Mus musculus: one gene and its partner. The protein of the gene in region 1 purifies or fractionates together with the protein of each later gene. This does not show direct contact. Links are inferred from orthologs where the notes say so. Each region holds a gene or a part of one and is shown in the gene's direction. Other genes may lie near its edges. The genes, in order: Ndel1 and Dync1i1.

Region 1 (4,535 bases):
CTTGATCTGTTTCTTGCATTTTGTAGCAGAGAAGATGTTGGGATATTTACACGTGTTCTCAGAGATTGTTACATTGAACTTTCTGGGTCAGTCCAAAAAGGACCTTGTACTGGAACCTATGGGAAGTGCCCTGGAATGCTTTACAAAGTTTGAAGGGTACAGCAGCTCTCACCTTTTCTTCTCTTACAATGCTAGTTTTATAACTTGTGCTTCCTTTTGAGACTGTCATCTTCTTTACTGATTTATTTCCCATGGATTTGGTGTAATGGAAGGAGGTCGGGCAGTTTGCTGACTCTAGGGTACTATTCCAGCCTCTGGGCCAACGAAGATCAGAGCAGGGCCTTTGGCTTCTGAGGGCTCTGCCAAGCTAAGCCCATTCATTAAGAAGGGGATGATGCCAGTCCTAGGGGCAGAGCAAATGGGAGGGGCAGCAGCCTGGGAGATGATGTCACTGTTTTCTGAAGGGCCTGGCCAGCCATTAGGTGACTCAGTGTGTTTCTTAGCACCTCAGCCAGGAGGCAGGACAGAAGCTGTGGCCTTTTTATCTTTTCCTGTTTGGGTGGGACGGTTCCTGTCTTGGCACCGGGTCTATAGGAAAGCCTTCATTAATCACTTCTCTGCCTTAAGTCTGATTAGATTGAGCAGAGTTTCAGGTAGGGAAGCCAGACTGAGTTTCAAAGCTGTTCCAGGCCACTGGCCTGTAAAGCAGACCTTTTTTTTTTTTTTTTTTGAGTCTTATGTTACAATATAGATCTAATGATTCCAGCTTCAAATGTTGTTGATGGTTAACAGTAGTGTATGGAAGGCACTTTAGCCCCACGGTCTAGCCTATGTTTCCCTTCTTGTCAGCGTAGTAGTGGATAACAGTGTAGCTTCTGAGTTTGAATTTGCGCTGTAGGTGAGTGACCTTGGGGAACTTCATCTTGCTATTTCTTACTTGTAAATGAGAGTGACGTGGGGTTACTGTGACAAAGCAATGCACCCCAGTGACTGGTACAACTACGGGCGCGACAAACCGCACAGTGAACTCATAATCTCTTTTTAAAAACCCTATATCCTTCATAGTGTAGTTCAAGACGCTCTAGACCCCAGTAATCTTCCTCTGCTCATCAGTTTGGGTTCTCCTTAAAAATCCATCTCGCACCGTTTTTTGTTTATATTGACCTTTCCCAACCGTATACGTGGGCTCACCTTGTCTTTCTTAGGCTCAGCATATGTCTTATGCTATGTTGTTTTGTCTTCAAACTTCAAAACCAATCCCAACAGCACTGAAATAACAATTACATTGAGCATGAGACAGCTAAAGTTCCTATAGTTGTTCCCCAAATGCCTTTTTTAAATTTAAGTTTCTAGTTCCAGGACAGTTGTGTATTTCTCCTGTCTCCTTCGTGAGCTAGTACTCTATACTGGCTTTATACTGGCTTCCCATTTTAGCCTAGGGAACTACTCTCCTGCGCAGCACAGCTTCCGGAGACAGCACAGGGCTAAAAAACCCACCTCCTTCGGGGGTCCGGGGCGGCGCCTGCGCAGGACGCTGTCGCAGATCTCACGTCAGCGCGCAAAGCCTAGGTCGGCTCCACGTGACTCTGGCCTCCCACCGCTCCGCCCCGCACGCCAGCCTGCTTCTGCGCATGCTCTTGACTCCGCCCCCGTGCGTCACAGAATGGCCTCCGACACCCAGGGAGCCCCTGACGTGTCGGGGAGGAGCCCGGTGCGGGGATACGCGGAGTGGAGCTCAGGGCTGCGGAAGGGAGCAGAGCTGAGCGGCTGGGCGGGCCTGGCCAGGCCAGCGGAGCAGAGACGTCGGCCGAGCGGCGGCGAACATGCGCTTTTGACACATTGGCGGTGAGCTCCCGTGCGACGCAGCCTCTGGGGTTCGAGCCAGGCGGGCAGCGCCGAGGCCTGCCCCGGGGGAGCCTGCCTGACCGCCGCCGGGCTGGGGCTCAGCCCGCTGGGCCAGGCCGGGCTTGGGTTCTGGGGCGGCCCGTACCGAGACAACTGTTCCAACCGCTTTAACTGTCCCCTCCTTACTGGCGGAGGTGTGGCCCACCGGGGGCACCTGCGGGAGAGCGAGTCCCGGGCTTCCAGAGGAGGGACGGAGGCCGGGACGTGGCACCGGGGGCTGAGGCGCTGACGGCTCGAGGAGTGGCCCAGTTGGGGTGGCGGAGGCGCGCCCAGCTTCTCGCTCCACCCATCCTTGATTCCCTGGAGCTGCCGGGGTGGTTAGGAGCCGGGCAGGATCTTGATTTCCCAGCGCCCCAGATGCGGGAGGCGAGAGCAGGAGCAGCCCGCGTTGGCAGAGACTGGCAGTCTCGTGACTGCCTGCCCCGAACTGCTAATCATCCTCTTTGGAGTTGGGGAAAGTCTCACTAACCAACCGACCCCGGTTGCTTGGATTCGCTTCTTATTTTTCTCTGAGAAACGATGAGGTGACTAACACTTTTAAGTTTAAGGCGAGTGAGGGTCCTTTTCATTACCCGGGCCCATTCCTGTAGCGTTTGTAAACATTTTAGAACATTTGCTGTTTGTACTTGCGACGGATACTGTAAGTCACTTTTTGCTGGATGGGGAAATTGAACCTAGGTACAGGAGGTTGGGGCAACTGAGTGATTTTTATTTGGGTTCCACTAACTGGTGAGAAGTTTAGCTTGGGTTACAATTTACCTTTCTAAGCTCAGGGTTCTGGTTTCTGTTTTCATGAGATTTTTTTTTTTTAACTTCTTCAGCCGGAAAGAGGACTGAACATTGGACTTGTTAAAGATAATACCAGAAGTTACTAGATGACTTATTTATTTTCGAGTAAATTGACCAAAAAAACCAAAAAAACCCCAAACCAAACAACAACAACAAACAAAAAACCCCCAAAAGCTCAGTTACTAGAAAAATCTTATCCTGAAGCTTGCTCATGAGTGGCTGGTTGTTAGTCTGAAAATTATGTTGCTTTCACTGCACTTAAGAGGTAGGGTAATGTCTGCCAAATCAGAAAGCTGAGAGGGCAAAGCTCATCATTAAGTTAAGGAGTCAAAAGAGACCAAAGGACACCCAGTTGGGGGTATCTCTTCTGAATTGTTGTTAAAATCTTAGAGTAGGAATACATAAAGAACAAAGAAAACCTTTAGCTCCAGTTAGAGACAAACTTAATCTTAGAAGAAGTTGCTAAATCTGCAGTGCCTTGGTTTTGAATTGAATTGAAGTTGGATCCAGAGCATTTGAAATAAAAAATAGACCTGAACATGCTTTTATGAGACCAACAAAATTTATTTTCATGCGTATTTTAAACCATGCTAAAATAGACTTGAGGATTGAGGACTTAAGTTAAAATTACTTTCTAGGCACTTCATAAGGGAGAGAAATAAGGCCTATTTCATTCTGCATATATGTTAATAGTCATGTAAAATTAATTTTCTTAGTGCTGTACAGAGTATCTTTGCCAGTAAGCTCTGTTAGATGATAACTGTTTAAAGTTTCAGTGAGCTAATTGTCAGTTGTTCACATCTAAAGGTCGTAGAGTGTGAGCATGTCTGCTGCAGAAGTTGTAATTGTACACTCACACTCCATGTGAGACCTAGAATTAAGGAAGATGGAGAGGAGCAGAAAGTCCTTGTCTGCTAGCCTTGCAGCTGTAGAAGATTGTAGATATGCCATTTGAGCACTTTTTAAATCAGTGAAAGATTTGACATTGGCTAACTTTCCCCACTTACGTAATCTCAAGCGACAGTGAGCCTCTCCGAGTACCTGGAGGCAAACTCCACACACACAGTTTTGAGATCACCTGCAAGGGTAGCACATTCGTTACTTGAACCTGGTTCTTAGAAGGATGAAGTTGATGAATAGGTGTAGGGATAAAGCTGGGTACTGCCAGGCGGGAAGCAACAGATACAGCGTGTGATGGGAGGGAAAGAACTTGTTTTAGTCTAGCGCATAAAGCTTGTTCCAGGAGAGACGTTAGGGATGCTTTTGTAATGAAAGGAGTCATCTGCTTATAAATTTGGAAGTCTGTTTACTCTGGTCTAACTTAAAGGTCCACTTCTGGCCTAGTAGTTTCTTAGAGTTGAATTAACATTTATGTGATGTTTATGCATCAGGCTCTGTTACACGTACTGTGCCAATAGTAACTCACCTCATCTTCCAAATACAACTGATCTTCCTGTTTTATAGGTGAGGAAATGAGGCACTGAGAAGTTGAATAGCTTGCCCAAGGTCTCTCAGCCAGGCCATAGTTTGACTCTAGGGCCTGAGCTTTGCATGCTGATTTTTCTGGCTAAATTAATTTTCTTTTAAAACCTTATTTCTGTGTGTGAGTGTTATATGTGTGAATGTGGGTGGCTGCAGAGGCCAGAAGAAGAGCTAGAGCTAGAGGGAGGGAGTTGCCCTGTGTTGGTGCGGGGAACCATATTCTAGTCTTCTGCAAGAGCCACTGAGCCACTTTTCTAGTCCCCTCAGATTTGTTCTTTTAAAAAGTAGATATATTTATTATATTTAATTTTGTGTAGGTTTGTGTCTGCATGTGGGTATGTTCATGTGAATGGAATGTC
Region 2 (3,812 bases), on another chromosome or scaffold:
TCCAGTCCAGGTGATGGAGACAAACAGAGTCACACATATTGTCCTTTGATAAAACATTCTCCTGTGTGGCTGGGGAAGATCTGGAGTAGATCTTCAAAATTGATTATTGCTGGCTAAGCAGGCAGGAACCTGAAAAAATAAACAAGAGCTAGATAGGGTAACAAGAGAGGTAAGAAGCAGTCTAGAAAGTGCATCTTCTTTTTAGTCCTATAAGGTTGTGCATGTGTTACATGTGCACATTATAGGAAATGCAGATGGCAAAGAGATTTTTACAGATAAAACAACCAAAATCTATTCAAAGAAACTGAGAGAGAGGGAGTCCACCCGACTTTCCCTGTAACTGTGATGTAAGTGTTAGAAAGGACAGGAGCTGCCAGCCATCACCGTGGGATGTCGGGTACCACTTTATAAGACTCTTAAGAAACGGACACTGTTGGATTGTTCCTATAGATTTCTTTTGTCTGGGAACAATGTGTGAAAGTAGGGTCACCTGCTTTTTGCATCAAATTTGATTTTTTTTTTTAAAGCTATATCTAAAATTCAAATTCAAACGCATTCTTAAAGGACAAAATGATATGGTTATGTAGCGGAGGCATGGTAATTGTTTACTTTCATGCAGTGTTCTGAAAACACTCTCAACAGTTTGGCATAGTTAAACTGTGCAGAGGAGATAAACAGTATAAATTTGCATGTTCTACCAATAATTGGCTTCTTTTAAAAGAGCCATTTCTAGTGGCTCAGTTGATTATAACAGTCTCCCTTCCTATCTGAGTACACAGCCCACTACAGTACTGCTTTTCTAACAGGACTTAGTTGCATTCATCTTACCTGTAGTGCTAGCACTGCCCGAGGATTAACAGGGGTCTAGGAGCCAAGGGGTGGACATGGAAACCTTGCTATGTCAGCTCACCAGAGGTTAGATAGTTTCTGAAGCCAGGCTACTGAACAAGAACTACCGAGGTGAGTAGTGCTGACGTAACGTAGTGGAATAAAGTGACTGGAAGGAGGGTGGCTGTACACTGGGTGTACTGGGTGACTGGAAGGAGGGTGGCTGTACACTGGGTATACTGGGTGACTGGAAGGAGGGTGGCTGTACACTGGGTGTACTGGGTGACTGGAAGGAGGGTGGCTGTACACTGGGTGTACTGGGTGACTGGAAGGAGGGTGGCTGTACACTGGGTGTACTGGGTGACTGGAAGGAGGGTGACTGACTCCAGGGCTGAATGGAAGTGAGGCAGTTTAGGCAGAATCTTTTGCAGACATTTGAGCAGGCATTTCTCAATTTAAGAACACAGGCCCTTGAAGGAACTGAATGACCAGTGCAGAGTTCTTCAAAGGCAGTACCAAGGTCAGTTGAACGTTAGCCAAATATACACTGGCCAACTTGCAGTCAGTCCTCGAGGCCCAGTGCTCCTTTGGTCAATGACTGACACAGTTAATGCCTGGCCCACTCTTGTGATTCCCCAGCTCTCTACCACACCTGTCTCATGGCAGAAATGATGACCTACTGTCTCTCAAGGAGTCAGCCACTAAGGCCAATCACAATTCACAGATAGAAACATGGATATCATTTGGGGTCTAATAGTACAGAAGATATTGATAACAAGAAACTCCATTCCTTTTATGCTCCTTTAAGAGCAGAGCGATTTAAATGTTTCTATTTAGTCTTAGTGTGTGTATAGTGTGGGTACTGAAGGAAAAGTGAGAGGCAAACCTTAGGAGTCAGGTTCTCCTTCTACTAGAGGATCAGAGAACTGAACTTTGGATAGCAGACCCACATAAGTATTTTTATAAGCTGAAACAAATTTGATATTTTACAGCAGGCTCAGAACAAATACTAAAAGCCTTTCTGAGCCGGTAGAAAGAGCCTTTCGTAGAAAAGAATATATTTAATTCATTTACTCATGATCATGTGCTACTGCCTCGACACAACTCTATCTTGGAACCTCACTTTTACCTCTGTTGCTTAACCTACCGTAGGGATGTGCAGGCTGGAGCCAACCTGTCTTTCAACCGTCAGTTCTACGATGAACATTGGTCTAAGCATCGGGTGGTCACATGTATGGACTGGTCTCTCCAGGTAAGAGTGCTGGCAGGAAAATCTTGACAAGTGTTTTAGTAACATTTATATGGGAAAAAGGATACTTGTTCTATTTTGGATATATTTATTACTCTATGACTCTGCCCACTGCTTTTGTTCACATTTTTTTCAAAAGTTTGGGGGCTAATTATCCATTCAGATATTGGTACTTATTAATTAATACACTCATAGAAAGGAACAAGCAGCCAGACCATTCCGTGAAGTAAGCTCTTCTACGCATAGTCACTGTTGGTTTCCTACAAACCAACTTGGTGAATGAACAACCTCTTGACTATACATGAGTCACTATGCCCAGCACTTAGCAGTTAAGCAATGTGTAAAAGCACACAGTTAAGTTGTGATGAAGTCAGAATTCGAATGCATGTGGTCTGAATTGTGAACCCATACATTTTTTATCTGTAAAGCTTACATGCCAAGCACTATAGAAACTGCCTTGAAAGTGTCAGATTATTTCACCGTCAAGAGAATTATATAAAGCAGTCACTATCAAGATTTGCATGCTGTAGCTGAAGAAACCGAGGCTCAGTAGATGCTGAGTAAGTCACTAACCTTCACTCACTCAGGGTACAGGAGCACTGATCTCAAACATTGCAATGCTCTACTCCATTGGTTTTAACTGCCCCCCCCCAAACAAAAACCAAAAAAACAAAAAACAAACAAACAAAAAACTTGCTCATGAAGCTGAAACAGAAGCACTTGAAGGTGACAGATGATCCAGACCGACAGCAAGTATTGTTTCAGAGTGGAGTGTATGAGGGGATCACTCTCTGGTCACATCTCTAAAGACAGACCAAGGCAAAGAAGGAGAAGGTGATGCAGTCAAATAAGCAAGTGATGATATAAAAAGAGTCTCGTTTAATGTCCTTGGGAATTGGGGGAGAGCATGATCCCCATAACTGTATGGTCGACAGCTACCACTTAGGTGGGGTCCTCTGCTCTTGCACCGTCTTTGGCATCCAAACAACAGAGCACAGAGAGTATGACTGTACTAAGACAGTCAAGCTTGCTCAGTCTCTCTGCAGTGTGTGGGTGGTCTGGGAGCATGCCCTGGTGTTCACAGAAATCAGATCCAAGCCCTAGCAAACACTTAGCTTGGAGTGTTCACTCATTCATGGTCTGGAAATCAGGCAGGAGCTTTATGTGATACATACCCCAACAAAGGCAACTGCTAGTGGTTCCCAAGTCAGCTGCTAACACTCCCCAAAAAGACTGTTGGGTACCCCAGCCTCTGTGTGTGTTTGCATGGGGTTATTTCCACAAAAGTTCCTCCCCATGGGACATTGTGTTAAAGGAAGTGATTCTCTGTCTTTTCTCTCCCTCTCCTTCCCTCCTCCCCTCCTCTTCTCTTTCTCTCTGCCTGTCTGTCTGTCTGTCTCTCTCTCTCTACCTCTCTCTCTCTCTGTCTCTCTCTCTCTCTCTCACACACACACATACACCTTCCTGTCTGTACTGTGGGAATTGATTTGAAATTGTAAAACATGCATTTTATAGAGATTTTTTAAAAAATATAATCCCTAAAATTCTGTGTCGTAATACTTTTGTGGGTTCAAAGAACCAGCTTTTCATGATTCTGAGACAAAGTGACACTTTGAATTGGAGTAGACACACTTGGACATAGTAAGACAAAAAAGAAGGGCTATGGTGTAATGGCAGCAGATATGCCTTGGAGTTTCTTGTGTGAAACAAAATAGAACCGCAGGGAGAAAAGGAA

What was found.
Region 2: the proteins of Ndel1 (region 1) and Dync1i1 purify together in Homo sapiens (affinity purification with western blotting; 3 studies listed by BioGRID and IntAct, with this or other methods). This does not show direct contact. The link is inferred for Mus musculus from reciprocal best matches to the Homo sapiens genes NDEL1 and DYNC1I1.

The regions. Positions count from the first base shown.
Region 1 is NC_000077.6:68,850,252-68,854,786, reverse strand, and holds the start of Ndel1 (nuclear distribution protein nudE-like 1), read left to right. Parts: upstream 1-1,651; 5' UTR 1,652-1,845; exon of another isoform or gene 1,846-2,429; intron 2,430-4,535. UniProt on the Homo sapiens protein: Required for organization of the cellular microtubule array and microtubule anchoring at the centrosome. May regulate microtubule organization at least in part by targeting the microtubule severing protein KATNA1 to the centrosome.
Region 2 is NC_000072.6:5,913,850-5,917,661, forward strand, and holds part of Dync1i1 (cytoplasmic dynein 1 intermediate chain 1), read left to right. Parts: intron 1-1,980; coding exon 1,981-2,080; intron 2,081-3,812. UniProt on the Homo sapiens protein: Acts as one of several non-catalytic accessory components of the cytoplasmic dynein 1 complex that are thought to be involved in linking dynein to cargos and to adapter proteins that regulate dynein function.